7 linked regions of the Oryctolagus cuniculus genome follow. The protein of the gene in region 6 interacts with the protein of the main gene of each other region in a pairwise test. Links are inferred from orthologs where the notes say so. Each region holds a gene or a part of one and is shown on either strand. Other genes may lie near its edges.

Region 1 (3,165 bases), on a different chromosome or scaffold from region 6:
CTTGTATCACCGACTCCAGGGCTCTCGAAGGCACACAATCTAGGGCGTAGCGGGTGAAGCTGACCGTGTGCAACACCGGCATCCCGTACGGGCGCCTGTTCATGTCCCGGATGCTCTACTTCCGATCTGTCTCTATGGCCGGGGAAAGTGGCGGAGGATGGCCCAAGTGTTTGGGCCCCTGCCACCCACATGGGAGACCTGGAGGAAGCTCCTGGCTCCTGGCCCAGCCCTGGCCATTTCAGCCATCTTGGAGTGGACCAGTGGATGGAAACTCTCTCTGTTTCTCTCCTTCTAACTCTGCCTTCAAATAAATAAATCTTTAAAAACAAAAAAAAAGCACATCATCTCTCCGAATATTTGGCCAGCTGGAGTCCCAGTCTGTGCGGGTGGGCAGCAAGGGGACCACAGGGCTGCACAGCACAGCGCTGGGCCTCGCCGCCCAGCCCTGCCCAGCCCTGCTTCTCCGCACGCCCCAAGCCACAGAGGCTCTCCCACAGCAGATAACACACACACACACACACACACACACACACACACACACACACCCCTCTCTACAAATGATTGTAGAAGTCTGCGGGTTTAATACCTGTAGGTTAACAGAAATGAAACAGGACACAGATCCAACACTACAGTCAAATGGGATGGTGGGAAGGGACAGAGGGACGCTGGACGGGACGGGGTCACAGCAACCAGTGAGCGATGGCTCCTGTGGTGCCCTGAAGACAAGAGACACCAGCCCGAGGCCGCCAGGCCCTGAGGTGTGCGGGGCAGCAGCCCGGACCTCCCCACAGGCTGTAGATTCAGGGGCTCTGGTCAGCGTGTTAGCAGCCAGAGAGGGGCTTCTGTTTCTCCTCACACTGGGGGAAACAGGCCCCCGCGTGGGTTCAGCAGGCCCCACAGTCCTTGGTCTTTGGATCCATAGCAGCACTGCGCACCACTGCGCCCACAGCCAGCAGCCCTGTCTGCTAAGCACCTTCTGGCAAACGGATTGCAAACAGAGTGGAGCACAGCCGGGGCGGCCTTGGAGGGGCGGAGTCGGCCGGAGGGCCCCTAGGCGTCGTGAAGGTTGCTGGCGCTCAGGAGCACTTTCTCCCCGGGCTTGAAGGCTGGCATCCCGAGGTAGGGGCAGCTGGCACAGCGGAAGGCATCGCCCAGGTAGCACTGGAGACAGGAGAGAGAGCCCGCAGGGAAGCCGAGGTCAGGGCAGCCCGGAGACACGGCCGCAAGGAGGATACTCCCGACTGCATAGGCGGCCGGGGGAGCGGGGACGGGACATGTCTTTGGGTTCAGGGCAGCGCTAGGCAGGGCGCGGTCCTTACGAGGCCGCGTGGCCTCAGTCTGAGAGCCTCAGAGCGCAGCTAAGCTCTCCAGCGGCCGAATCACCTCAGGACCCACCGGGAGGCAGGGAAAAGGGCTCCTCCCGCACAGGCCCGAGCGCGCCCTCACGCATCCCCGCCGCACGTGCATCCTCACACGCTCGCCCAGTGTGAGGGCAGCGGGCAGCGGCAGCGAGCGCCTGGGAGGCGGGCCCACGCCTGGGCTGGGGAAGGCTGACTCACGTTCCCGCAGGCCGACTTGGGCTGGGAGCTCTTCTGCTGCACCGACTTCTCCTTCTCCAGTTCTTCCGCAAGGCCGCAGGTGCTGTGGGGACAGCGGTCGCAGGAGAATGGGATTCACCGCTGCCCAGACGCGAAAGCCTGAACGGCGCCAAGATGCGCCGCCATCTCCCATTCACACCTGGGTGTCCTAACTCAGCCGCGGGGGCGGGGGACGGGCAGACAAGGCTGACAGCGGGGAGACGGGGAGACGCTAAGGGCAAAGCGGAGCAGGAGGGCCTGCGCCCGTGGGCTGTCGCTGTCCTTGTCGCCGTGCGGGAGGCAGATCTAACGCTGCTGAAGAACAGAAGAGCACAGCGCTTCCTGGACGCTCACTGGGTCCCTGACCTCGAGCACCGGCAGGCACACACTGACACAAACTGCTGACGAAGCACGCCTGCACCTACAGGGCGAACGTACGGAACAGCGCCGGCTCGGGTTCTTCCTAACTGAAGGCCATGTTGTCTGCGGGTTCACACCCGGGGCGGGGAAACTACCAACAAACCCAGGGATGAAGAACTCGAACTCAGGAAACCAGGCCCCTCCCGGGTTCCTGCGACTTCTGAGGCTCAGCGATGCTTAGGCTTCTGAACCTGGGTGGGCGGCACACGGGGATTCAGTGTGTGGTTCTTTAAAAGGTACCTGTTCAACTCCTGGCCCATGCCAGGGTGGGGACCTTTTTTCTGCTGACAGCCATTTGTATATTTATAACATAATTCACAGGCCATACAAAATCATCAACCTGGGGCCAGCGCTGTGGTGTAGTGGGTAAAGCCACCGCCTGCAGTGCCAGCATCTCATACGGATGCCAGTTCAAGTCCCGGATACTCTACTTCTGACCGAGCTTTGAGCTATGGCCTGGGAATGCAGCAGAAGATGGCCCAAGTGCTTGGGCCCCGACACCCACACGAGACCGGGAAGAAGCTCCTGGTTTCAGATCAGCACAGCTCCACCCATTGCGGCTATCCAGGGAGTGAACCTGCAGATGGAAGACCTCTCTCTCTCTTTCTCTGCCTCTCCTTCTCTCTGTGTAACTTTTTCAAATAAATAAATAAATAGATCTTAAAAAAGTCCACCTGAAAACTAGCCGGCTCTAGATGCACTGGATCTCGGATCCCACCTGCAGCTGTCTGGGCGGGGCCTGCCCAGCTGATGTCGTGGGCCTTCAAGTACAACCTGCGGGCTGGACATTCCCCACTGCTGCTCTATGTATAATACATCCAACATAAAACAGGCATTTAAAAAATAGTGAAGGATTGGGGGCCGGCATTGTGGCAAGTGGGCTAAGCCTCCACCTGCGGTGCTGACATCCCATATGGGCACCTTCTCGAGTCCTGGCTACTCCACTTCTGATCCAGCTCTCTGCTGTGGCCTGGGAAAGCAGTGGAGAATGGCCCAAGTGCTTGGGCCCTGCACCCACATGGGACACCCAGAAGAAGCTCCTGGCTCCTGGCTTCAGATCGGCCCAGCTCTGGCCTTTGTGGCCATTCGGGGAGTGAACCAGCGGAGAGAGGACCTTTCTCTCTCTCTCTGTAACTCTGCCTCTCAAATAAATAAATGAAATCTTTAG
Region 2 (4,508 bases), on a different chromosome or scaffold from region 6:
TTCCTTAGAGAAGCCTCCAAATTCTACCTTTCAGAAATATCTTCTGCATGAGTTGTCTATTTATTTATTTATTTATTTATTTATTTTGGCAAGAATCTTTTTTTGAAGGTTTTTATTTAATGAATGCAAATTTTCATATGTACAGCTTTCAGAGATTATAATGTTTCTTTCCCCCATCCTTGCCTTCCCACCTGCACTCCCATCCCACCTTCCACTCCCTCTCCCGTTCTATTTTCCATTAAGATTTGTTTTTAATTGACTTTATATACAGAAGACCAACTCTTTACTAAGGAGAGATTTCAACTCTTTTCACACACACAGACACACAAAGTATAAAGTACAGTTTGAAGACAAGTGTTACCATTAATTCTCATAGTATAACTCATTAAGGACAGAGGTCCACCATGGGGAGCAAGTGCACAGTGACTCCTGTTGTCTATTTAACAACTGACACTCTTATTTATGAAGTCAGTAATTACTCGAGGCTCTTGACATGAGCTGCCAAGGCTATGGAAGCCTTTTGAGTTCACAAACTCTGTCGTTTTTCTTTTTCTTTTCTTTTCTTTTCTTTTCTTTTCTTTTCTTTTCTTTTCTTTTTTCATTTGACAGAATTAGTGAGACAGAGAGATAGAGAGAAAGGTCTTCCTTCCATTTGTTCACCCCCCAAATGGCTGCACACTTGGTTGATCCTCCGCCTGTGGCACCGGCATCCCATATGGGCGCTGGTTCTAGTCCTGGTTGCTCCTCTTCCAGTACAGCTCTCTGCTGTGGCCCAGGAGGGCAGTGGAGGATGGCCCAAGTGCTTGGGCACCTGGACCCGCATGGGAGACCAAGAAGAGGCACCTGGCTCCTGCCTTCGGATCAGCGCAGTGCGCCGGCTGTAGTGGCCATTTGGATGCCGGCGCTGCAGGCAGAGGATTAACCTAGTGAGCCACGGCACCGTTTGCACAGGGCCATGTGCAAAGTGGAAGTTCTCTCCTCCCTTCAGAGAAAAGTACCTCATTCTTTGATGGTCCCTTCTTTCCCCTGGGGTCTCACTCACAAAGATCCTTCATGCAGAACTGATTTTTGCCACTATGTCTTGGCTTTCCATGCCTGAAATGCTCTCATGGTGTTTTTAATCAGGCCTTAGGAGCTGATTCTGAGGTCAGAGAGCTGCTTAGGGTGTTTGTCATTCTATGAGTCTGCTGTGTGGAAAGCTTCCAATGTTGGAATTTTCTCTCCTTTGTAATTCTATCTATGGTTATTACCAGGCACTTGGACTTATTTATATGATCCCTTTGACTTATGGTCCTATGTATATGATGAATACCATACTTAATATGATCACTTTATCACATAAGATGGGATGAGTGCCACCCAACTAAATAGGATTTTGAGTCCCCTGATGAGTTGCCTACTTTTAGATACCCATTAATGAAAGATTCCTGGCCAGTACATCCATTTTATTATAGTTTCCTAAAGACCTAGTGTCTAGGTGATGATAGGGGTGTATGAAAATTCATGTGTTATATGTCTGAAAATTCAAATGCAAAGTCATTACATTTCTACAGAAAATATCTCCTAATGACTTTTTAAATTTTTCTTCTGTTTGTTCTGATTGGCTGAAGTAACTTCAGGGGAAAGGGCAGCTATAAACAGAGAATGCAACAGAGTCTGCAGATAAATAATGGTTGTTATTATCAGGATATAAGCATAACACAGAGACAGATGACTCTTTTAGAGTTCAAGTATTTGGACAGGTGTGCTGTAGTGTGATCTTGCAGCATTTAGTTCTGATTTCAGCTTGCTATTTGTGAGACATTAACATGTATTCACTCCCTCCACACCAAATAACCTTTTAAGAGACTGTTCTATTAATAGTTAAGAGGATTTACAGACTTACAATGGACTTTCTGCAAGGATACCACACAGGAGATCTGTCATTATTTTTGGAAAATAAAATAACTTCATGGTAGAAATTTAAATATGAGCACTTCAAAAAATTCATAGAAAATAGAATCAAAGATAAATTCACTTTGGTATGAGCATTTTTTGTAATTCATTGATTTTTTTCATAATGCATATTTGTCATGAACTTTTTCTCATATGCATGGATTTCAAACATTTTTACACCAAAATAAACTCATCTTTTAATACTATTTCCATGAATTTTTAGAACTGTTATATTTAAGGAAGTTCACCTTAGGAAACTATGAATATAGAACACTAATTCTTAGCTCTGTAAGTTTCTTCCTACATTCTTGCATTTGTTGATGAATTTTTTTTCTCTAGTGATTTTCTTAGGAAGCAGCCTATCACTTTTCTTTCTTTACTCTATGGGCTATTATATTGGAGAAAAAATCTGAGGAGTAATATCAACAGCCACAAAATGTATATTCCTATTTTCTGCTTCTTAAAACATCATCTCCTAAAATAAGCAAGCAAGAAATAAATCAGCATTTGTTTTGCTGAGGGAAACAGTTGAGGCTGGAGAAACTGTACAAGTCAGTCATTACCACACAAGCTCGACTTTTTCCTTAGAGTTTGTTGGAAAACGTTTTAGATAAATCTTCAGTGAGATAAAGTGAGTGACAACGCTAGAGCTGACTTGTGGTTTTATACTTTCTGTGGATTTACCCTCCCCCTTGTCAAGAAAGTGTTGGAGATGGTGGGGATTGTCTTACCTGGACGTCAGGCAGAGCTTGCAGGACCCCTTCATTTTCTGTGGTTTGGTGAATATTGGCATTATATCGCTCAGTCCTAAACAAGGGCTGAAATTGTGTCCATATAGTTGGCCTGGGGAAGGGCTTCTGGAGGCACTCTTGGTTGTCTTGGGTAAGCCTTGGCATGTTCTTACGACAGAGGCCTCACGTGAATCCTGCTGCCTGGTTTTTGCTCAGGACCTTCTCTGCTTCTCTTCATCTGGCTTGTGCTGGGTCCTCTCAGAGTCTGCCTGGAGCCTCCCTGGAAAGTCACATGGATCAAAGCCCAAGGATTATCTGTTCTGTGGGTCAGTGGCCCTTAGTGTTCTATTCCAGGTAGAGCCGCTTATTGTGAATGCCTAAGTGTGTTATGACTGCCCTCTATAGGTAGGAACTAATTCAAATACAACCCTAAACCAAAATGGAAAGGATTCAAGTGATACACGGTCTAGTACATGATGATAGATTACATAGCAAAAATTGCTTGGCAAACATTCTGTGTTAATAGTTTGTGACAGGTAATCGTACCTGACAATCTTGGGCTGTGCAAGTGACAGCAGATTGTCAATCTAATTTCTCCAGAGTTCTTAAAAGATCACTTTAGTGATAGCATCAAAACTTAAGCTTAAAGGTTATTACACTTTTTATTGACATCATGTGGAACTAGTTATATTGGTTTTCTTAGAGGTTGCTAGACACCCAATGATTAAGACAAGAATTGGCTTGTATTACCATACTTCATATTTATAAACTACTTTATAAATAGGAAGTTATCAAACAGATGTTAAAAAGTAGAATATAATACCTTAACCTCAAGAAGTAACTAATGCCTAAGTAGTTTCTGTTGGGTTCACGGGGTATAAAAAGATAAGGGTTCCAGATATACTTGGGATTATGAACTAGAGAGGTTTCCTTTTGTAAAATGATCCCAGGTCCCCCAAATAAATCTATGCATTCATTGTAATCCCTCTCAACATTCCTTTTTTGCAGAAGGTAACATTTTTTGTAACTTTTTAAAGCATTGTTTAAACTCACTTATGGGGCTGGTGCTGTGGTGCAGTAGATTAATCTTCCACCTGAGGCGCTGGCATCCCATATGGGCACCGGTTCTAGTTGCGACAGCTCCTCTTCTGATTCACCTCTCTGCTATGTCCTGGTGAGCAGTGGAGGATGGCCCAAGCTCTCGGGCCCCTGCATCCATGTGGGAGAACTGGAAGCAGCTCCTGGCTCCTGTCTTTGGATCTGCCCAGCTCTAGCCATCGTGGTCATTTGGGGAGTGAACCAGCAGATGGAAGACCTTTCTCTCTGTCTCTCCCTCTCACTGTCTGTAACTCTACCTCTCAAATAAATAAATAAAATCTTTAAACTCACTAAGAAGAAACACACAAGATACAAAGAAATCCCAGTAACCCTTTCAGTCCCCAGAAGTTAACAAGTTGATCCTAAAATGCATATGCAATTGTAGAGGACCCAAAATATTCAAAACATTACTGAAAAAGTGGAACACAGTTGGAGAATTTATATTTGCCTGGTTTAAAACTCATCACAAGATTATAGTGATTTAGATGGTGTGATATTGGCGTAATAAGCACAAGCATATAGATCAATGGAATAGAATCAATAGTCCATAAATAAATCCATATAGTTATGATCAAATGATTTTCAACAAGGTATAAAGACAGTTCAATGGGGGAAAGAATTATCTTTTCAAAAAATGGTGCTGGGACAATTGGATGGCATTCACATGCAGAAAAATTAGTTTGGACCTCTATCCCACACCATAAATAAAATTAACTCACGGAGGGCATTTGGCACAACAATTAA
Region 3 (3,756 bases), on a different chromosome or scaffold from region 6:
ATAAGAAAGCCAAGGTGTGTCAGTGGAATTAAATAGATCACCCTTGGTCTTACAGCCAACATGGTGACATGGCCATCAGAGTCATGGTCTAAATAACTCAAAAGAGCATAATCGTTCTCCCACTGCACCAATCTGCCATACTGTCCACAGCACAAGAAAAACAGAAAAAATGAAATGAATGATGAAAAAAAATTTGCATACAAGGTGAAGAAGTGAAAGGAAAGACTATACAAACAAAGATATAAATTGTAAAAGATTAAATAAAGTATCTAATATAAACAAATGGAAGGAGTAAGAAGGAAAAATATCCTACAAGTTATTCTTGTCTTTGGAATTATACTCCTGTGGACTTCATGACTTAAAAAGACAATATTTCTGCTCAAAATATCATAATGGTTTCACAATGTGCTGGCAAGCAAAATAATAAACAAACATATAATTTTTCACACCGTAGTTTCTAAGAGCACTGCTTAATATTTAGATAGCTGCTCAAAAACTCAGATACTGCATACCTCTTCCAGGCATTCCAGAGTGCAATGACCCTCGGACCGGAATTCTGGCATCCCTGGAGGAATGGTATGGAAGAGGCTCACCCAGAGGCCAGCCTCAATTACTCCAGCATCATATTCCCTTATATCCGTTGTATGAAATAACCGCAGTCCAGAATTATCTATTAAGCCTGTAATAAGAGTACATCATTAAATGTATTTGATTTTTTAAATTAAAACCCTTGTATTTAGTTGAAATTAATTTATTTTCTTTAAATCTCACAAGAGAAATGATAGAAGCAGAGATTAATGTAAGACAACAATTAGTTTCACATGAAAGACTTAAAATGAGTCACCACGTTGTCTGCCACTGTGGTGGACACACAGATCACATCCTGAGGGAAATTACTGAGATAAAAACTGATACATTTCACTATTATCTAATATGACAACAGAATGAAAATTATAGTCATCATGAGAATATAGAATAACTCAATAAAAGTGGCTTTTATAGTGTTTAGAGGTGAAGTTCAATGACATTTATTTTGAAGTGAAAACTTTTGGGTCTAGAAGCCACCTACTGATGGAGAACAATGCTAAGGATGAACTGTCTATAGTTTGTCACCAGTGTCTTATTCATTCAACAGTCATTCAATTAACAAATAATTATTAAGAATCTCTTACATGAACAGCACTGCATTAATCAATGTGGAGATGAAACATGAATAAGTCATGTTCTTGCTATGGCAAGGTTATGACAAGGTGAGAGATTACGAATCTCAAGTACTTCCAAGAATTTTGAACCATGTGCACCACACACCTCTGACTCTGTGACATTACCAATTATATGCTGTCATAGTGTCAGATATCCTGGCTTTGGGTCAACTAGCATTTATACAATTTTCTGTTAACTGATATGATTATTTTATCATTTCTTTTTCCCACTAGTCTGTTATTTCCGTGTGCATTGACATGGTGTTGCTTTTTCATTCATGTTATATAATCAAGAATAGACCTAGTTGGTGGTTAGTATTTGCACAATAATCATATGAATCAATGTAAAATAATAACTTTAAGTTGCTTATTTTGATAATTATATATAAAATCTAGCAATTTCTTAGTTTTGAAATTAAGTAGATTCAGACATCAAAAGTGCAATGCCTCTTTCTTTAACATATTGCACAGTGCCACTACATAAAGATTTATTAAATATGTTTGTGAGTTACAACAAAAAACTTAGTATATTTTATCATAACAAATGATGGCTTTTCCATATATGCAGTTAGAAAGAAAATATTTCACAAGCACCGTATATTTGGAACTAATTTATATCACAAATGAAAAATGTCTATTATTCTATTTCCTGGCAGGTAATATGTAAGCTTTTTTTTTTTTTCAGATTATAGCCATATGTGCCCATTTGCCTAGTTCAGTGTGTTTTAATGCTGACTGTCCCAGTATAATCATGAATAGTGCTTTTTTTCACATTACAAAGTACCCTAATTTGGATGATAAACATATAGGTCAATTTGTTGCAACCTGTTTGCAGTTTTGTTTCAACCCTTTTTTTAAAAGATTTATTTTATTTATTTGAAGGGCAGAGTTATAGAGACAGAGAGGAAGAGGTCTTCCATCCGCTGGTTCACTCGACAAGGGGCAGCAATGGCAAGGGTTGGGCTAGACTGAAGCCAGGGTTCAGGATTTTCATCTGGGTCTCTCACTTGGGTGTAGGGGCCCAAGGACTTGGGCCATGGTCTGCTGCTTTCCCAATCACATTAGTAGGGAGCTATATCAGAATTGGAGCAGCTGGGACATGAACCAGCACCCATGTGGGATGCTGGAATTGCAGACAGTGGGTTAATCCAACATACCACAACGGCAGCCCCTCAGTAAAGGTAAGAGCTACAAACTTTTTAAAAATTAATAAGTAAAATATACAAAGTGTTAAACTCACCTTTCTTATGAGTTGGATTGTCATAATGGACTTCTAGGAGCACATAATGTGGATCTAACGGAGTGCCAAGGGATAATCCCACGTGAGGTGGATAGGAAAAACCCTAAATATGGAAAATTCCATGAGACGATATACCATGTAAGTCCCTGACAGCTCTACTCCACTCAGAGGCCAAGGATTCTATAAGATACTTTGACCCTTTAGAACTCCATTATTCTAGTATTCAAACAGTATTTTTCACTTCGTGTTTCTATGTGGGTGCAAACTGTTGAAATCTTTACTTAATATATGCTAAACTCATCTTCTGTATATAAAGAGAATTGAAAATGAATCCTGATGTGAATGGAAGGGGGGAGGGAGGGAAAAAGGGGAGGGTTGCGGGTGGGAGGGAAGTTATGGGGTGGGGAAGCCATTGTAATCCATAAAGCTGTACTTTGGAAATTTATATTCATTAAATAAAAGTTAAAAAAAGAACTCCATTATTCTATATTTGATTAGATAAAATGATTTACAGGAAGAATCCTTTCCATGAAAACAGAAATACACCACCCTCATATCAAAAATAGTGTGTAGAGCTTTACTTATTAGAACTGTATTTGGGAGGGTGGGAACATGATCAGTTATTCCTGCTGCATCTCAGTGATCATTAGCCCCACCTCTCCACCAATGGCCCAGGCAAAAATCACGGTCTCGCAAGTGAGGAAGGCATCGGGCATGTTTGGGTGGTAACACTCATGACCGTAGTCCAGGACACTGTCATTGAAGCTGCTACTGCACTGATAGAGCAGGATGTGGTGGACCAGACTCTCGTGTCCTCTCTGTATCACTGGCTCCACCTGCACAGACACAAACAAGAAGGATGTGATGGGGAGAACCATGTTACAACATCCTACAACAAGTACAAAACTAGCATAACTGATCACCAGTTTATTGTCCAGACATCCTTCTCAATTATGCATTTCAGGTATAATTTGTGCTAGAGGTGATGATGATGATGATGATGATGATGAAGAAGATGATAATGATAAGGGCAACAACCAAGATAATTATTTACTCCAAGAATCAGAGGACTTTACTTGTCTGCTTATGTTTTGTTTTTAACTCACATTTGTTCTCTTTACCCATTCTGCTAAGCAACTATTTAAAAACTTGCTTACATTCTTCTAGGTTTTACCTTGCATTGATCCTCTTCCCTCCTATTTTTTCCCATGCACTAGAAGAAAGAATTCAGAACTATAGGTGCAAATATTGTTTCCTCTCCCACCTCAAAATCTTCTCTTTACCCATCCCTATTGGACATGATAGATGATGTCC
Region 4 (4,274 bases), on a different chromosome or scaffold from region 6:
CGGGCCCTCCTGCGGATGACAGACAGTGCAAAACAGACTGATACACGCATCTGGGCCCTGGCTGGAGGCCTGGACGTGGGAGGGCTCCCCACAGCCTCCCTCCCTTTCCTCAGCACTGAGAATGGTAGGGAAACAGACAGCTTCATTATTACCCAAAGTCGTAATACTCTTGCTTTGCAAACTAGCAAGCTCGGCAGACCAGTTTTCAATGGCAAACTGGAGGAGAAGGGGAAGGAGGGGCCACCCGTCCTGGAGACAAGGCCTCGGTGACCTGGGCCCTATTCACTTTGGTCACCACCTCCGCACACTCCATGGTCCCCCACAGAAACCCATCGTACAGATTCGCATTCCTGCTACCTCTGCAGCCACACTCACGATTCTCGCATGGACGCCTGCACTGGGGGGTCCTGCCCTGCTGATGCCGATGCCGCACTTCTCTGAACCTTGGTCTCTCAGGTCGGCCTGAGCAGGCAGACCGTGCGCGAGCCTCACAGGTGTCTCTCCACTCTTCACTTTACTCAGCCTGCTCCAGTCTTTCCGCTTGTGTGATCATTTAAGAGGTCACAGTACTGCATCCCACCAAGGGCAACCATAGGCCATTGGAGCGTTAGCACTGTCCGTCTCCCTGACTCGTGCTCCTGTGCTCCTGTCATGCCCCAAGTGGGCCATCAGCTGGGGCGTGGCAGCACTGCTCCCTGTACTGGGCATTTCCTTTTCTTTCAAGTTTCACCTCCTCTCTGGCCGCCCTTTTTACCCTGTATTCTCTCTATGTCTAAAATGTCAGCCTCTGGCACTGGCTGTGGGCTTCCCGAGGGAGGAGGGACAGCCAGGGACCAGGCTGAGCGCGCTGGACCGGCTAGGGAGCCCGGGAGCTGCGGAAGCAGCGGGTGGGAGGGTGACCAGGTGCTGCCGTACCTGCAGAAAGGCAGCCAGTACTGCCAGCCCCCCCGGGCGCCCCAAGGCCTGGCCGATCTCGGCGAACGCAGTGCTGAGATGGACCACGTGGATCTGGGGAGGACGCGAGGGTCAGACTAGTGCAGAGCTCCAACTCCGCTCCGCCCTTTGCTCCTCCTCTGCTGCTCCCGGCTCACCTCGGCAGGGAAACGGTGCCCGTTGACGGTGTGCTCAGAGCCCGGGCGGTCCGCAGACCCCCAGTGCAGGTGCAGCTGCAGCGCCCGGTACTCCCGCCCGGGACCCAGGGCCATCTGCAGCCCGGGGGGCAGAGTCAGCTGCACTGAGAAGGGGGAGGCGGGGTGATCCCACTCTGCCTCACCCGCCGGCGAGGGCCAGCCCCACCCCCAAACACCGCCCCCCCAGGCTCCGCCCCGTCCCCTGATGGTCCCTCCGACTTGGCTGGGGTTCCGCGCGAGACCCCCTCACCGGTGTGGCCATTGTTGCGCAGGCGCAGCTCTGGGAGCCGCGGGAGCTCGAAGCCCAGGAGTTCCAGGGGGCGCAGGGCCGGGCAGAAAGCGGTGAGCTCCGGGCGGATATTTACCGGGGACTGAAAACGGCCGGCGCAGGCGGGCGACACCTGGGGCCAGGGCGGGTCTCCTGGGGTGAGAGAGGATGGTGAGGCTGTCTGGCCATTGGGTCGGGGACTCTGAGGGAGCCCGGGTGTAACGGAGAGGGGATGGGATCGGGAGCTAGAACTCGGCGGCGTGGGCGGGACAGGCGGCGGGCGGAGGGTGGCCGCCCAGGACCCGCGCGAGGCCGGGGTGGCGGCGGGGCGCATCAGTGGAGCTGGGTCCCCGGGCGGCGTGCGGGGGTGCGCGTCTCACCTCCATAACGCCAGTGGCTGTGGTCGTCCCCTGTGTAAATGAGAAGGGGTAACAGGCCGACGTGAATGCCCAGTGCTGCCCAGCAGCGGGAGCATGGTGGGTCGCAGTCCTCAGACGCCCCGCGCGGGCACCGCAGGTAACAAATGCCTGGTGTCAATCACAGGGCGCTGCGACCAAACACCCCCGCAGGCCCCAGAGAGGCCGGTTGGAGCCCTTGCTTTGGGGTCTGCAAAGGGACGGGCGGCGGCTCGGTCCCCGGGCCCGAATCCGTGGGCCAACTTTCCTTTCTCCCTCCCTCACCCATGCCCCCACACCACCCCCACTCATCCCTCTGCTCTTTCTGGTCTCCCACTCCTTTCCTAAAGTTCCTGGTGTGGAAAGCAGAATTCCAGATTCCTCTACCTGCTGTTTCCTGGCTAGACAGATGACCTCTGCAGTTCTCCTCCTCTCCCTCGGATACCCACTGTCCGGCCCCATCTTTCCCCCTCTCTTCCCCTGTACTCTGCTCTCCTTCCCTCCTCCTCCCCCGATGCATACTTCCTTTGCATGCTCAGTTCTTTCTCCCCAGCCTCCCCCTGTCTTTCCCATCACTTCTCTCCATCCGTGCCTCCCTCTCCCCATCAGCCAGGCAGCGAGGGGGCTTGTGGGGCAGGAGCTCTGGGGGCTGGAACGGCGGCTGTTAGAGAGCAGGCTCTGCCCCTTCTCTGAAGAACCACGGCCTGGACCAGGCTCTGGGCAGGGAGGCATGAACCTAGGGGAGCCTAGATCGGGAGGTGGACGACAGCTTACCTTTCTTGCCCTTGTGGGCGTTGTTCGGGGGGCCGTGAGTGTGCACCGGAGCTTCCGTGGTCAGTAGGTCCTCTAACTTCAGGGAGTCCTCTTCTCCTGGCTTAGTCTCAGCCTCAGGGGAATCCTCCTCCCCAGGTGGATCCTCCTCACTGGGCAGATCTTCCTCGCCTACTGGATCACCTTCCCCTGATGAACCTCCTCCTGTAGCCGATTCCCCCTGCACCTGGGGCAGGCTCTGGGGATGGGCGGGCACCAGGAGCAGCAGCAGCAGCAGATGTGCGGTGGGGCCCCGGGCAGGGGCTGGGGTCAGCAGAGGGAGCCAGGGGCCCGAGCACAGGGGAGCCATGCGGCTGACTGCAGGGTGTCCCGGGACACGGTGTGTACGGGCTGTACGTGCATTGGAAACAGGAGCCGGTGGGGGAGGAGCGAGCTTGGAGGGGAGCAGGCTGACTCACAGAATGCCCTTTTGTAGAGAGCGAGCCAAAGTCCCGCGGGTCTATCTGGCCTCGCGCCCCCCTCCCCGATACCAGAGGCTGGGTAGGGGTGGAGTGAGGGGCAGGTGTGTGCGTAGGGAAGGTTATCGAAGTCACAGGCTTGGCTTGGAAGCCAAGGCACCACCTGGCACTGTCCATGCTCTCCCTGGCACTACCCGGCTGCTTGCCAGCCAGCTTCAGTTAACCCTGGCTTGCTTCCCAGCCCCAGGCAAGGAAGGGGAAAGATGGAGGAGCTGGGGTCCCTAAGACCCCTGGCTAAGAAGGCAGGCAGCCCTCGTATACACCTCTGGCCTAGGTAGGGAACAGGCAAAGGGGTAGGGCGGGCTGCTGGGTAGGCCTAGAGGTGAGTCAGTGGAGGGCTGGCTGGGAGGCAAACCTGGGCATGAATGGGAAACTCCGAGTATGGGTGAGAGGGACTCTGATGAGTTTAAACTAGATGTATTTTTTAAACTTTTCATCCTATTACTCCCCTGCTCGAAAACCTGTGTCAGCTCCCCAACGGGCTACCAGAGTTATGCCCACCTTCTTCTGACGTCCAAGTCCCTTAAAACCTTACCCAAGGGACCTTTCCATCTTATCTCTGGCTACTCTCCCTCATGCCTCCGCCAAGTTAAACTATTCGTTCTTCCTCCAAATCTTTTACCACCTTGGTTAATCTAATTCTTAACAATTGACGCCAGCCACTCTTGCATTCAACAAATATTTAGCACCTACCTTATGTCAGACCCTGGGCCATATCCTAGGGATATGGAAATGAGTCAGACATCACAGCGCCTGCCCGCAAGAGCTCACAGCCTCGTGCGGGGGAGACGGAGACTTTCATCATGTAATATTTAGCGGGAAGGCAGGAATTCTGCTTCGAAGGTGGTACAGAAGTGGGTAAAGTTTGATCAGGGCATTGAAGGAGAAGAAGTAGCAGGCTGGTTTGTAAAAACAATAGGACAGCGGTATTCTGGGCAGAGGGGAGGAATGAAATATTTTGAGCATGAGGATGATGGAATCCAATTCTTATATTAGGGCATGTTGGCGGCGAGTGAGCTTGCAGTGGAGGGAGGGCTGGGCACAAGGAGACAGCGTAGAAGAGAGGATCTCCAGCTCTCGAATGGGCGAGGGGCTCCCGGTCTGCCTGTTTAAGCAACTTCAGAGTCTCCTCCCGCGCTCCAGGGACTGCTCTGGGATCTAGTGACGGAGTACCGGACAGAGAACAGTCTCT
Region 5 (4,343 bases), on a different chromosome or scaffold from region 6:
TTTTTTTTTTTTTTTTTTTTTTTATTTTTGACAGGCAGAGTGGACAGTGAGAGAGAGAGACAGAGAGAAAGGTCTTCCTTTGCCGTTCGTTCACCCTCCAATGGCCGCCGCGGTAGGCGCGCTGCGGCCGGCGCACCGCGCTGATCCGATGGCAGGAGCCAGGAGCCAGGTGCTTTTCCTGGTCTCCCATGGGGTGCAGGGCCCAAGCACCTGGGCCATCCTCCACTGCACTCCCTGGCCACAGCAGAGGGCTGGCCTGGAAGAGGGGCAACCGGGACAGAATCCGGCGCCCCGACCGGGACTAGAACCCGGTGTGCCGGCGCCGCTAGGCGGAGGATTAGCCTAGTGAGCCGCGGCGCCGGCCCGAAATTAAATGTTTTCTAATGATATTGCCAAATGGGAATCTGTGTTTGCCTTCCTGCAGCCGCAGCACAAACACCGCACCCATCCTGAGATCCACAAAGCTACCTTGAAGAAAACTCCAGGGAGCCCAACCTTGCCATTACCACTCCGTTTGGATTTCAGTTGCTGGAGCAAATATCTATTCCGCCTTCACAAACAGGTCATTTGGTGGGTTTTTGTTTTGGTCCAAGGTGGTGTTTTAAGACTTTACATTAATCTAGATTTGGGGATTTTCTAAACCTAATTATTTCAGAATATAAGTGTCTTTTTGTTTGAAAAAGTGTGTGTTTGTAAAATCTCTTGAAATTTTCTGTGCCTCACAGATGTTCAAAGCTAAAATAATAATTCACCAAGTAAGAAGATCATTGTCTGTTTCTTGACCAAAATTAGATGGAAGTTTTCAAACGCTTTTTCATTTTGCTCAATCTGCTGTCTTCATTGAATATGCCTGAACAATCACTGTTAGTTATTTTTTAATTTATTTATTTGAAAAGAGAAGAGAGAGGGAGAGATGGAGAGAGGGTGAGGGAGGGAGAGAGGGAGACAGGAACTCTTCCATCCACTGGTTCATTTCCTAAACGCCCTCAACAGCCAAAGTCAGGAGCCAGGAACTCCATCCGGGTCTCCCACATGGGTGGCAAGAGCCCCAAGTGCCTGGGCCATCCTCCGCTGCCTCCCAAATGCATTAGCAAGAACTTGGATCCGCAGCGGAGTTAGCTAGGGCTCGAACCAGGCACTCAATGGGGGACGCCAGCGTCTCCAGTGGCGGCTTAACCTGCCGCACCCCAGTGCCCACGCCTGGACGGCGCCTACTGAACTACAGAAACAGGAAGAACCCTCTGGCTATGCACATATAAGCACCAATACGCTAAATGCTGAAAATATAAAGAAGTATGCTACACCTACACTCTTGTGTGTTCCTGGCCGTCACATCTTCATCACGTGATTCCATTAAGAATGTACAAAGGGAACAGGTATGTGAACACGATAAAAAATTGATGAGACCAAGTGTTCAAAAAGACCAAAGCACTTAGCAAGCACTGCCTGGAGTGATTCTAGATAGCGACCACAGATTTCCAAAGCTCACATGTAGTCCAGGGAGGTGAGGCACCGAAGATAAAGACAGCTTTCAGAAATGCTAAAAGCTGCACTTGAGTGTAAACCGTAAGGAAATGCACTGATTTCTGAACCTTGTGAGAATGACCCTCAACATTAACCACACTTACAGGGGGTAATTTGGTGAGCAGAAGACTACAGAGGAAGAGCTCATGGTGTACATTAAATATTGAAGCGGCCATCACAGCGGAGTGCAGGAGCTGATCAGGTGTGGCAGGCAGGTTTTCTGTCACCTGGACAGGAAAGGCTCACCTCCCACAGCCCAGAACAGAGAGAGCCCACTGCTGCTTCTGGACAGTGAATCCCAGGGGGACAAGAACTTCCAGACAGAGAGCAAGCTCCCATCTGCTGGTTCACTCCCAAACGCCTGCAACAGCCAGGGCTAGGCCAGGGCCATGGTCAGGAGCTGGAAACCCCACACAGGTCTTCCACTTGGAAGGTGGCAACCTAGTGACTTGAGCCAGCCCTGCTGCTCCCAGGTCTGCGTCTGTGGGAAGCACGCATTTTACATTAAGCAGTGCACAGTCTGAGACGCCCACAGCAAAGATGAGACATCACCCGGAGGGAAAGTGAAAGAAAACATCACAGCGGCCAACCCGTGGGACCCGGCTGCCCAGGGAGGAGGGGAGGGCGGGCGGACAGGAGAGGCCCGGGCTCAGCTGCTGCACTCACAGGTAGCCCAGCCCCTAGCAGCCATGACATCACAAACCTGAGAGTAAAGTGCAACCCAACTCCCGGGAGGAGACTACAGCAAGCCACTGTCCAAGGTCTGCCAGCGGGTCCAGTGGTCAGACGCCAGTGAGCTCAGCAAGGCAGAGACTTGGAATGGAGCCGGGCAGTAAACGGGATCGGAAACACAAGGAGGTGGCTCCTCACCAGCGTCCCCTGCCACCAGGCAGGAGGAGCAGCGGTCTCAGGTGTCCACAGGGAGAGCCTGCCCTCCCACCACAGGGATCCCAAAGTGACCCTGGCCTCCCAGCGGAGACCACTCACGTGTCTGCCCTCGCCTGCAGAAGAGGGTGGGAGGTCCAGCACGAGAGGCCGAGGAACGCAGCAGGTGCAGCCGGGGTCACCGGTGGGTTTGCTGGCGGCAGTGGGCATGACGTGGTACACACACTGCCGGCTGCGTCAAACCTGCCTTCGCCCCAAGGAACTGCAAGGATCCCTCACCTCTGTGCCTCTAATCACCTGGGCCCAGCCCAAAACCATCCTCGCAGGATTTCCGGCTGGGCCTGCTGGAGAAATGAGGCCTGGGCAGCCCAGGCACCACGGCCCCGCTTGCCCCTGGCAGCCCATCAAGAAAGGTCCGTTTATTTTGTAATCAATCCCCGCCCCCGGCCCCCAGTGACCACGCCGCTGGCCCCCTGGGCGGCGCCCTGGGCGGGATGGGGGGAGCTGACCGCAGTGCGGCCTGGCTCCGAGGGCTACTTGGGCCTTCGCGTGCTGCGCACTTCTGGCTCAAGACCGGCCCTTCTTCCGGACCCCCTCATCTGGCTCCGTTTGGGGGTGCTGGCACAAGCCTCGGGGGACAAGGGGTGGCTGGGGGCGACCGCGAAGGGTGTGGATATGCTGGCCCCAGGCGCCCCGCACGCGGGAGGGTCGGCCACGTGGCTTTGAGGCGTGGACACGGGCCCCAGGATGTCAGGGAACCCTTGGGGCTGACCTGTCGGGACTGCGGAGCGGAGAATGCGGGGGCCTGCATTGCGGGGCCCTGACACCGGCCCCGGCCCCGGCCCCGGCTCGCCCGGTTCTTCTGCCGGGAGTGGGGCTGCGGGATAGGACTCGTCCCGGGCGCTGACGGCTAGCGGGGAGCCGGCCCTCCATTTCCCTCGCTGCAGGCAGACGTCCCTCGCTCTTCCCCGCCGCCCTGGGTCTCGGGGGCCGCTCCTGGAGCAGTCCGCAAGCCCTTAGGCGCCTCTCGGGGCCGGTTGTCCACGTAGAGCCGAAGCCAGCTGCGCGACCCGGGTTCCGAAGGTTCTCGCCGGGCTGCAGGTGCGTGGCTGGAACCCGGTCCTCCCGCAGCAGCCGCACTGAGCGACCGGCCCAGCCAGAAGCGAGGCTGCACTCCCCCGGCGCGGCCCGACGGCCAGCGGCCCCGGGACCCCGGGGAGGTCGCCCACTTGGAGTCACGGCGCGTGGGCCGCCCCGGGCCGGCGCCGGGTCCGCCTCCCTGTCTTCGCGCGCAGGGCTCTCGGAGCTGCGCGCCCGCCACGCCCCGCCGGCCCCACGCGCGCCCGAAGGCTCCGGGGCGCGTTTCCGAGCCGCGAGCGAGCGAGAGAAGGGGCTGCCCCGCGCCCGCCGCGCTCCCGCGCTCACCTTGCCCTTGGCCAGCAGGTCCATGATGTAGCCGAAGTCACCCCCGTCCCCGGACTCGGACATGGTCATGGCGCCGCGCGAGCTCGGGACAGCCGGGCCCGGGGCCTCGAACGGCTCTTCGTCCCGCTGCTTCCTCCGCTCCTAGTCCGAGTTCCGCCGACCGCCCCTGCACCGGCCGCAACCGGGGGCGAGGCGCAGGGCAGTGCGGGGCCGCGCCAGGGCCATGGGGGCCGGGGGCGCGGCGGGAGCGCGACCTCACGGGACCCGCGCGGCCCCGCCTCCACCTGGGGGTCCCCGGCGCCGCCGCGACCGACGGGCGCGCACAAAGCGGCGGGCTCCGGGCGAGGCGCGGGCCCGGCCCGGCATCCAGCGGCCCCAAGGGCGATCCTTTGTGGGCTGCGGGCGAGGGCGCGCGCCCGGCTCTCGGCGTGGAGACCCGGGTAAAGCCCCGAGGCCCGGGCTGGAGGTGCCAGCGCAGAAATGAATGCGGAGGAGGCGCAACAAAGGAT
Region 6 (4,523 bases):
TCAAGCACATAAATTTTAAAAAGAAAAAAGTTCACCCTGTCTTGGAGAAGGCACTATGGCACAGAGGTGAAGCTGCCACTTGGCAGGCCCACATCCCGCATCAGACAGCCTGGGTACAGTCCCAGCTCTTCCAACCCAGTTTCCTGCTCGTGTGCCTGGGAGACAGCAGATGACGGCCCAAGTACTCGAGTTCCTGTACCCACATGGGAGACCAGGATGCAGTTTGTGAAAACGACTAGCCCAGCCCTGGCTGTTGTGGGCTCTGAGGCATGAACCAGTGAATGGAAGAGTTCTCTCTCTCTCTCTCTCTCTCTCCCCCCCCCTTTCCCTCTGTCGCTCTGCCTTTCAAATAGATAAATTTTAAAAACTCATCTATCAGAGAATCAAGACTTGTGCATTTCATTAATGTATGTAACCAATCTCAACTTTTTAAAAAGCTAGACTATCACTTTTCATCAAATTCACAAAGGATTATTTAAATCATGATATTGAATGATAAACAAGATGGTGAGACGCACTTTCATATCCTGCTGGTTGAAATTGGGATCCTTCAGAAATTTCTTAAAATATGAAAATATCCTGAAGAAGTAACTAAAGTGGTAAAGATTTATGTATGTGGATATTTTACCATTATTTTACAAAGCAAATAGCTGGGAACATCTAACAATACAGATTTTTAATGGCCATTAAAACATATGTAAAGCCACTAAAAATCAAGTTTTAAAAGAATTGTTAACGCCACAGTAAAATGTTCACAATACGATTACATGTTTTTAAAATTAAGATAAATTATCAAGCTTTGTAACAGTGTGAGTGCAAATACGTAAAAAAGAAAAAAGCATATGGATCGGATCTGGATTCCAGTTTCAGTTCCATTACTACCAAGGCGGTTTTAACAGTAACTCCACATTTGTAAGACGGCAGTGCCTACCACCTTGGCATGCCAGAAAGACCAAACACGTACAAAAGGGCCTCGACCACCTGACATTCTAGCAGCGTTGACGGTTACTCTGCCCTAGCCAGGATGCGCCCAGGTTCCATGTCCTAACCTCCATTTTCCAATTCAGCACACACGCCCACGATCTCAACACACACCTGGAGCACACACCAATGGGCACACTGCCTGGGAGTTCACGGAACAGCCTTCTCCCATCAGCAGGGCAGCCCACCCGTCCGAGGCACTGCTGGAGGGAACTTCCAGAGAAGAGGAGGATGAGATCCGGACCAAGTGGTAGACGGCGTCATTAACCCAGGTCCGCGTCAGGAAAGCGAGCAGTGCCCACACGGCCTCCTGCAGGCGGGTTCCGTCCAGCCGCTCCCCCTCGGAGCGCACCCCCGCTCCAGGGCGCAGCCAGTGAGCAAAGCCCCCACTGCTGGCCACGTGCCCCTGCCGTCCCGCGGGGCAGCGAGGGTCAGTGATGGCTGGAGGACTGGCGAAGGATGACCTGGAAGGCAGGCAGTGTTCCGTCGGCCCCTGCTCGGCCCTCAGACGCCCATCAGCCACCGCGCAGGGCACGCGGCTCTCTGACCAGCGCCCGAAACACATCCAAGTGGCTTTTCTATGTGAACTTTGACCTGTCAGGAACCTGTCAGGACGGCTCACACAGGAACCAAACACAAAGGCGTGCAGCACGCAGGTGCCCTGAGCGAGCTGCAAGCCGGCCAGCAAGGCGAGGCCCACACGCGCGGGCGCCCTGCGGGGGCCTCCCCACTGCTCTGTTCCCGCCAGCCCCGGGTGACAGAACCCGCCTCCACCGGGAGCGCCCCGCACCGCCCGCCCTCGCCCTGCTCCGCTCCACGAACACCCCAAGGAGACTCGACATGCCGAGGGGCTGCCTGCCTCCACACTCCACCCTCGCGGCTTCCACGAAGCGGGTCCCCCGGCCCCAGGACGGGGCATCACCTGCCTCGGGTCGCCCGCCTGCGAAGCCCCCCAACACAGCCCGCTCGGGATGCCTCCCGCAGGCCACGCGCAGCAGCGTACGCGGGAGCCCGCGGGGCACGCCGAGGCTCGGTTCTCCACACCCGCCCAGGGGTCACGTGGCTCGCAGGCGGCGGGGCTGCCACCGGGCACTGGAGCGAGCGCCCACCCCAACCGCCCAGCGCGTGGCTCAGACAACCGCTGGGCGCGCGCAGGGCTGCACGAGCGCCCCTCTCCCCGCAAAACGCGGGCCCCTGGAGGGCGAGCAGCACGTGCGCCCAGCCCGACGGACCCTCCCCAGCCAGTCTGGGACGAGGAAACCCGCCTGAGCCCGCCACAGGTCGCGGGCCCTCCCCGCCCAAGGAGCCAGCAGGTTCAGGGCCGAGGTAAGGACGGGGACCGAAGCCCCCGCTGCAGCGGGACCCACCGCGAGGTCGGGCAGCCAGGGGCGAAGGCCAAGGCGAGCGCGGGCCCCGCGGGCGGGCGGGGGTCCCGCCGCAGCCCCCTCCGCCTGCCGCAGAGCTGAGTCACCGCCAGCGCCCGGGCCGCCCGGGCCGGGGGCCGCAGGGTCGGGGCCCCAGGGTCCCAGGCCGCCCCCGGGCCCCCGCCCGCCGCGCCCCCCGCCTGCCGGCCGTTCCGCAGGCGGCGGCTCGGGCTCCGGCGGCTTCGCTGGCTGCCCAGCCCGGGGGCTCCGGGGCGCCGCGGCGACCCCGGCCCGTTCCCCGAGGCCGAGGCGAGCGCCCTCCGCGCGGCCCTCTCTGCCCGCACTCACTCCCCACCGCCGCCCGCCGCCCCGCTTACTTGGCTTTGAGGCGCAGCAGCTCCTCAAACTGCCGGGCGGAGCCGACCTCCACCACTGCCGCCGCCGCCTCAGCCGCCTCAGCCGCCCCCGCCGCCATGCTGCCGCCGCCAGACAGGAGCAGTCGACAGCGGGCGGCTCGATCGGGGCGGGGCCGCGGCGCTCACGGCGGCTGCGCGCACGAAAGCCCCGCCCCCGGCCCGCCCCGCGGCTGAGGATCCTGGGAAACGGGAGGCGGCGCCCGCGGCGGGCCCTGGGCGGGCTCGGGGCGCTGGGCTCTGGCCGCCCCGGCTGCTGGGCCTCGGGGTTCCTGGCCCCGGGACTCCGCACTGTGGGGCTCCTGGCCGTCAGGGCTGCGGACTGTGGGGTCTCTGTGGCTCCCGGTTCAGGGCCGCTGGCCCTCGGAGCTCTCAACTGTGGGGTCCCTGGCCGTCGGGGCTGCGGACTGTGGGGTCCCTGGCCCTCGGGGCTGCGGACTGTGGGGTCCCTGGCCCTCGGGGCTGCGGACTGTGGGGTCCCTGGGCCTCGGGGGTCCCCCACGGAACCTCCCCCAGCTAGCTCTGGGTCCACGGGGTGCCCCGTGCTTGCTCCACCGTGGCTGCTGCTTCCTGTGCCTGTCTCCTAGGCTGCTGTCAGGGTGGGCAGGAGGGCATCTCCAGGTGCCTGGACGAGAACCAGGAACTGAACTGCCCCTCAGTGGCCGGTGGCTGGCTGGGACCTGCACTGGCCGGATTTCAAAGATGTCTTCCAAAAAAATTAATCTATACACGGATTGCATGTTGAATTGTTTTGGATACATTTCTTTTTGTGAAATTTTTAAAGGTTTTTTTTTTACTTGAAGGGCAGAGTGACACAGAGAGAGAGAGAGAGCGCTTCTTTCCATTGGTTTAGTACCCAAATGGCTGCAAAAGCCAGGGCGGGGCCGGCCAGGCCGGGGTGTCCTGCCTGAGCGGCACCCTTCAGGCCACCGTCTTCTGCTTCTGAAGAAGCTGGATCCACAGTCCGACTGGGATGGGGGCGTCCCGAGGCTGGTCTGACCTCTGCGCCACGACGGCTGACCCACACCGCCTTCCGTTCCCCAGCCCTAGTGATGAGAAGCAGCCTTGGGGCCGGCGCCTGCAGTGCCGCCATCCCATATGGACGCCAGTTCAAGACCAGGCTACTAGGCTGCTCCACTTCCGATCCAGCTCTCTGCTGTGGCCTGGGAAAGCAGTGAAAGATGACCCTAGTCCTTGGGCCCCTGCACCCGCATGGGAGACCTGGAAGAAGCTCCTGGCTCCTGGCTTTGGCCTGGCCCAGCTCCAGCCATTGTGGCCATTTGGGGAGAACCAGCAGATGGAAGATTCTTTCTCTCTCTCTCTCTCTCTCTCTCTGCAACTCTGCCTTTCAAATAAAATAAAAAATCTTTTTATTAAAAAAATTTTCTGTCAGTCCCTCTCCATCAGTAACTCTTTCAAATAAATAAATCTAAAAATAAATAAAAGTAATCCTTTAAAAAGTGCAGTAGGAGGGTGAGAACTATTTTGTACCTTGGTTGTGGGGTAGATGCATGAACCTAAACATGACTGAATAGAGCTAAGTATGCGCTCCCTCTCTTCTCTCTGACACACACACACACACACACACACACGTACAAGCAAACCAGGAAATCTGGAAAAGCTGGTGGACTGTGTGGAGATACTGACATCCTGGTGGTGGTACTGCATTACAGGTTGTGCAAAATGTTACCACTGGAGAAGATGTACATGGGGTCTTCCTGCTTGTTTGTTTGTTTGTTTGTTTTTAAGATTTATGTATTTGAAA
Region 7 (3,596 bases), on a different chromosome or scaffold from region 6:
AAGGGATCCTACTGATAATTACACTGGAACAACAGGCATACACTGGGATTGTCCTGAGCAAACCAGGCCTGCAGTCCCTATGTCCCACCTTCCTGTCCTAGGGAAGTCACCAGGTTTTACCCAGCAATGACTCCCAGGTGCCTGGCTCAAGAGGCCTGGCCCAACCTTTAACACGCTCTTCTCCCCTTCTCCACGTTAACGCTGGAGCAGCCTTCGTCCAGATGCTCTGGACACCCGGCGACCTAGCACTGCTGACCCGCTCTGAGTTCCCACCAGCGGGTGCCCAACACTCACCGAGTGGTAGAGCCGCACAGCCTGGCGCACACTGGCACGGAGCTCTGCCACAAGCCGCTCACACTCCTGCAGGCTCACCGTGTGTTCTGAGAGAGACGGCTGGAGCTCAGGGAGGCCCAGCAAGCTGCCCTCGCGCCACCCCCCACTGGCCTCGGTCCCTCCCTCCTGCCTCCTTCCCTTCTAGTGCCCTCCCCAACACCACTGAGACAGCAAGGTCCAGAAAGGAGGGCCTACCCAGCCCCAGAAGGCACTGAAGGCTGAGTGGGACGCAGGGAGATCATGAAGGTGGGCAGGACTTGTCTCACCATCAGGGGTGTGACTCATGACCGAGACAGGAGCAGACAGGACGAAAAACACCAGAGGCTGGACACACAGAAATGGGATGGAGCCAGAGAGAAGCCAACAGTGATGGAGAGAAAGGATGAGGCAAGAATGAGAACTGGGGAGCTGTGCACACCTGAGTCCTGGCTCAGGGCTGCCCCTGGTCTGGTGCATTCCATGGGGTTGGGAGTCTTCTCAGAGGTTGGGGGCTGCAAGTTCTCAGGGCCTCGGAGGAGAATGCTGACCGGCAGCTGCTGGGCACGGGGGCTGCTGGGCCCAGAACGAGCCTGGCACTCTGTCCTGGGCTTGGGAGTAGCACCCTCCCCCAAACAGGCCCGCCTCTCAGATGCACTGGGAGCCTTTCCTACGCCAGCTGAGGAGTCAGGCTGCTCTGTCTCAGCAGGGGCCCGGCCCTTGGATACAGGTGAGAATGCAGCCAGGGTAGGACGGTCCGGCCGCGGTTTGGGGATGTTCAGGACCAGGTGAGCCCGGCTTGGCAGGGCCAGCTTGCTGAGTGGTGAGACTCGGCTGGGGGCAGGGGCTTGAGGTTCGGCCACCATGCCCAAGTTTTCCCCAACAGAGACACTGCGGGATATCTTGGCCATGGAACTGGTGGTAGAGTTCTGGTAGGAGTAGGGCTGAGATGGATGGCCATCAGCCTGGGGCAGCAAGCCCAGGCCACTTTGGGCCTCATCTGCAGAAGAAACAGGGGTATGTGCAGGTCAGGCAGTGAGGGAGGCATCCAGGTACTTAGGTTCAAGCTCTGGGAGCCACTCCTCCCCTGTACATGTCCATTAGGCAACACCCAGGGCCACATCAGGGCCACCACAGCCCCTCCCTCCTCCATCACGTCCATGCAGCCAACAATGCCCACACCCTGAAGCTGAGCCCACCTGGCTCTTCACCCTGCGGCACCAAACTCTGCACAGACTGGGCTTTCTGCAGTCCAGGTAAGGAGCCGGCTGCAGCTACTCTCTTGGGGGCCCGGCTGCTGTCGGGGTTGTAACGGCGTCGTGGCAACAGCACAGGGCCTGCCTGCTCAGGGCGAGGGTTGCCAGGGGAGGGCTCCATCTCCGGAGGTGCTCCAGGGGGGTTGGCAGCACTGCCTCTCAGCTGCTCACTAGACGCCTGTGCCATCTGGACTGGTCTCGACATCAGTGGCAGACTTGAGGAGGACGACGGTTCCCTACAGGGAGGGAATATGCAAGAAGACCCGGGGAAGGCTCTGTGTTTCTCCCTGCCAAGACGGTGAGCAGCTCTCTCAGCACCAGGGAGACACCAGGAGAGAACATGCACAAAGCGAACAGGGTTGGGGCAAGGCCAGTTTCCCAGGACCAGGGGTGGAAAACACCTGAACCTTGAAGGGAGGAGGGCTGCCTGCTGCCCCGGAGGCAGGGGCACTGGGGGGGTCAGGACAGCGGCAGCTGCTGTGGGGCCAGGTCTCTGTACCTGAGTGGGGGAGTCTGCACTTGCAACAGGAATCGGGACGAGATGCTCCGAGACTCTGTCCTCTCCGGCACCCGAACTGGGCCCCCTGTCAGGGTTGTAGGAATCATCAATGAAGGCAAGAGCCAAGCCCCTGCCCTAGATTCTGCCTCCCCAGAAGGAAACCCCAAGGCATTGCCTGCCTTGGGCCCTCCCTCTCAGCTAGGCAAGGAGGGAGAAAAAGAGGCTGCAGGCACCGAATGCTGGCCCTCTGACCACACCTGGAGCAGCCCCATTGGCCAGAGTCTCAAAGTGCTGTTTCAGAAATTGCTCCTGGTCCGGGGTATGGGGGCTGCCTTCCTGCAGCCCGTAGGGGCCAGTGCCTCCCTCCTCTTCCTCCTCTTCTTCGTCACCCTCAGCTGGCTCTTCAAGGTCTGAGGAGATGCCATCCACACTCAGGGGCTCTGTGCTCTCGGAGTCTGGATGTGGGGATGGGGAGAGGCATCATGCTGCACCTGCTTGTTGCCAGGGTCTCCACCGCTCTACCCCTGCCCCCACCACTGGTCGCTCCCATGAGGCTGCAGCCTCACCTTCATTGGGGTGCTCGGGGCTGGAAAGGCGGCTGCTGCTGTAATCCACCGAGCAGGCGCTGTCAGGGCTGTGCTTCTCAGAGCCCCTGCTGCCTGAGTAAACTCTTCCCAGGGTTCCTCGGGCTGGAGCCTGCACCTGGAACTCACTGCCAGGGGGTCAGTGGGGAAGAAAAGGCAGTGAGCAGTAGCACCACTGGACTCTGGCCTGTGAGCAGCGCTACGGATGAGACAGCAGTGAGGTGGTAGCCAAGCCCTGAGCATCTTGGAGGCCAGCCCCCCCGCCCCAAATTAAAAAACATTCAGAGGGAAGGGAAGACTGGAGCTGCAGGTCCACGAGTTCTGGCCAGGACAGGACCCTTGCCTGGTATCCATGGTGGGGCCGTCACTCGGCTCTGGATAGACAATACCATCTTCAATGGGTGCAGGCTCTAGATCTTGAGCAAAGACCCCTTCCTCTTGTGACAACAATCGGATAATGTGGGGGCAGGAACAGGGTTGGGAAGCCTGAGGCCGGGGGCCCTTTTCAACCTGGGAACACACAAAGGGGCATTACTGGGGTTGCTGATAGGAGGAGAAAGCCTCGGAGAAGAAATCAAGGCAAGCAAGGTTTTGGGGTATGCCAATTCTGGGGAAGCTGAACACTCCAGCTCTGAGGACAGACACCAAGAAGCCAGGCTGGGCTCCAGCTGACGCTATGTGCTTCTGCAAGAACCGTATCAGCACTCTGGGCTGCCAACCTCCAGCCACCTCCTGATACTAAGAGTCCTCCAAGGAACCCAGCCTAGATCCATGGCCACCTTTGCCTCTCCACCCCAACCCCTTCCCTGTCCACCTCCATCACAGCACACAGCCTTGCCAGATCCAGTCTGAAACTGTTTGTTGAGGGGCAGAGCAACTAGAGCAGGAGCTGTGCTCAGGCCCCAGCTGTTGCCCCTACGCTGGCCAAGGCTCCTTGGGGGTCTCTGC

What was found.
Region 1: the proteins of GLRX3 (region 6) and CIAPIN1 interact in binary tests that used the Homo sapiens proteins (3 or more experiments, as listed by UniProt). The link is inferred for Oryctolagus cuniculus from reciprocal best matches to the Homo sapiens genes GLRX3 and CIAPIN1.
Region 2: the proteins of GLRX3 (region 6) and RGS20 interact in binary tests that used the Homo sapiens proteins (3 or more experiments, as listed by UniProt). The link is inferred for Oryctolagus cuniculus from reciprocal best matches to the Homo sapiens genes GLRX3 and RGS20.
Region 3: the proteins of GLRX3 (region 6) and MOXD1 interact in binary tests that used the Homo sapiens proteins (3 or more experiments, as listed by UniProt). The link is inferred for Oryctolagus cuniculus from reciprocal best matches to the Homo sapiens genes GLRX3 and MOXD1.
Region 4: the proteins of GLRX3 (region 6) and CA9 interact in binary tests that used the Homo sapiens proteins (3 or more experiments, as listed by UniProt). The two-hybrid records come from large-scale screens. The link is inferred for Oryctolagus cuniculus from reciprocal best matches to the Homo sapiens genes GLRX3 and CA9.
Region 5: the proteins of GLRX3 (region 6) and TRIM36 interact in binary tests that used the Homo sapiens proteins (3 or more experiments, as listed by UniProt). The two-hybrid records come from large-scale screens. The link is inferred for Oryctolagus cuniculus from reciprocal best matches to the Homo sapiens genes GLRX3 and TRIM36.
Region 7: the proteins of GLRX3 (region 6) and MAPKBP1 interact in binary tests that used the Homo sapiens proteins (3 or more experiments, as listed by UniProt). The two-hybrid records come from large-scale screens. The link is inferred for Oryctolagus cuniculus from reciprocal best matches to the Homo sapiens genes GLRX3 and MAPKBP1.

Annotation. Positions count from the first base shown.
Region 1 is NC_091449.1:40,983,201-40,986,365, forward strand, and holds the end of CIAPIN1 (anamorsin), read right to left. Parts: intron 1,642-3,165; coding exon 1,560-1,641; intron 1,162-1,559; coding exon 1,051-1,161; 3' UTR 559-1,050; downstream 1-558. UniProt on the Homo sapiens protein: Component of the cytosolic iron-sulfur (Fe-S) protein assembly (CIA) machinery required for the maturation of extramitochondrial Fe-S proteins.
Region 2 is NC_091437.1:78,680,359-78,684,866, reverse strand, and holds the start of RGS20 (regulator of G-protein signaling 20), read right to left. Parts: upstream 2,945-4,508; 5' UTR 2,832-2,944; coding exon 2,667-2,831; intron 1-2,666. UniProt on the Homo sapiens protein: Inhibits signal transduction by increasing the GTPase activity of G protein alpha subunits thereby driving them into their inactive GDP-bound form.
Region 3 is NC_091436.1:36,737,458-36,741,213, reverse strand, and holds part of MOXD1 (DBH-like monooxygenase protein 1), read right to left. Parts: intron 3,279-3,756; coding exon 3,099-3,278; intron 2,546-3,098; coding exon 2,443-2,545; intron 680-2,442; coding exon 513-679; intron 1-512.
Region 4 is NC_091432.1:198,588,472-198,592,745, reverse strand, and holds the start of CA9 (carbonic anhydrase 9), read right to left. Parts: upstream 2,986-4,274; 5' UTR 2,914-2,985; coding exon 2,568-2,913; intron 1,809-2,567; coding exon 1,779-1,808; intron 1,552-1,778; coding exon 1,381-1,551; intron 1,235-1,380; coding exon 1,092-1,234; intron 1,009-1,091; coding exon 916-1,008; intron 10-915; coding exon 1-9. UniProt on the Homo sapiens protein: Catalyzes the interconversion between carbon dioxide and water and the dissociated ions of carbonic acid (i.e. bicarbonate and hydrogen ions).
Region 5 is NC_091437.1:5,489,236-5,493,578, forward strand, and holds the start of TRIM36 (E3 ubiquitin-protein ligase TRIM36), read right to left. Parts: upstream 2,823-4,343; 5' UTR 2,815-2,822; coding exon 2,689-2,814; intron 2,661-2,688; exon of another isoform or gene 2,620-2,660; coding exon of another isoform or gene 2,512-2,619; intron 1-2,511. UniProt on the Homo sapiens protein: E3 ubiquitin-protein ligase which mediates ubiquitination and subsequent proteasomal degradation of target proteins. Involved in chromosome segregation and cell cycle regulation. May play a role in the acrosome reaction and fertilization.
Region 6 is NC_091446.1:2,053,135-2,057,657, forward strand, and holds the start of GLRX3 (glutaredoxin-3), read right to left. Parts: upstream 2,907-4,523; 5' UTR 2,821-2,906; coding exon 2,723-2,820; intron 1-2,722. UniProt on the Homo sapiens protein: Together with BOLA2, acts as a cytosolic iron-sulfur (Fe-S) cluster assembly factor that facilitates [2Fe-2S] cluster insertion into a subset of cytosolic proteins.
Region 7 is NC_091443.1:64,896,676-64,900,271, reverse strand, and holds part of MAPKBP1 (mitogen-activated protein kinase-binding protein 1), read right to left. Parts: intron 3,159-3,596; coding exon 2,992-3,158; intron 2,777-2,991; coding exon 2,631-2,776; intron 2,520-2,630; coding exon 2,322-2,519; intron 2,150-2,321; coding exon 2,065-2,149; intron 1,802-2,064; coding exon 1,509-1,801; intron 1,310-1,508; coding exon 752-1,309; intron 381-751; coding exon 295-380; intron 1-294. UniProt on the Homo sapiens protein: Negative regulator of NOD2 function. It down-regulates NOD2-induced processes such as activation of NF-kappa-B signaling, IL8 secretion and antibacterial response. Involved in JNK signaling pathway.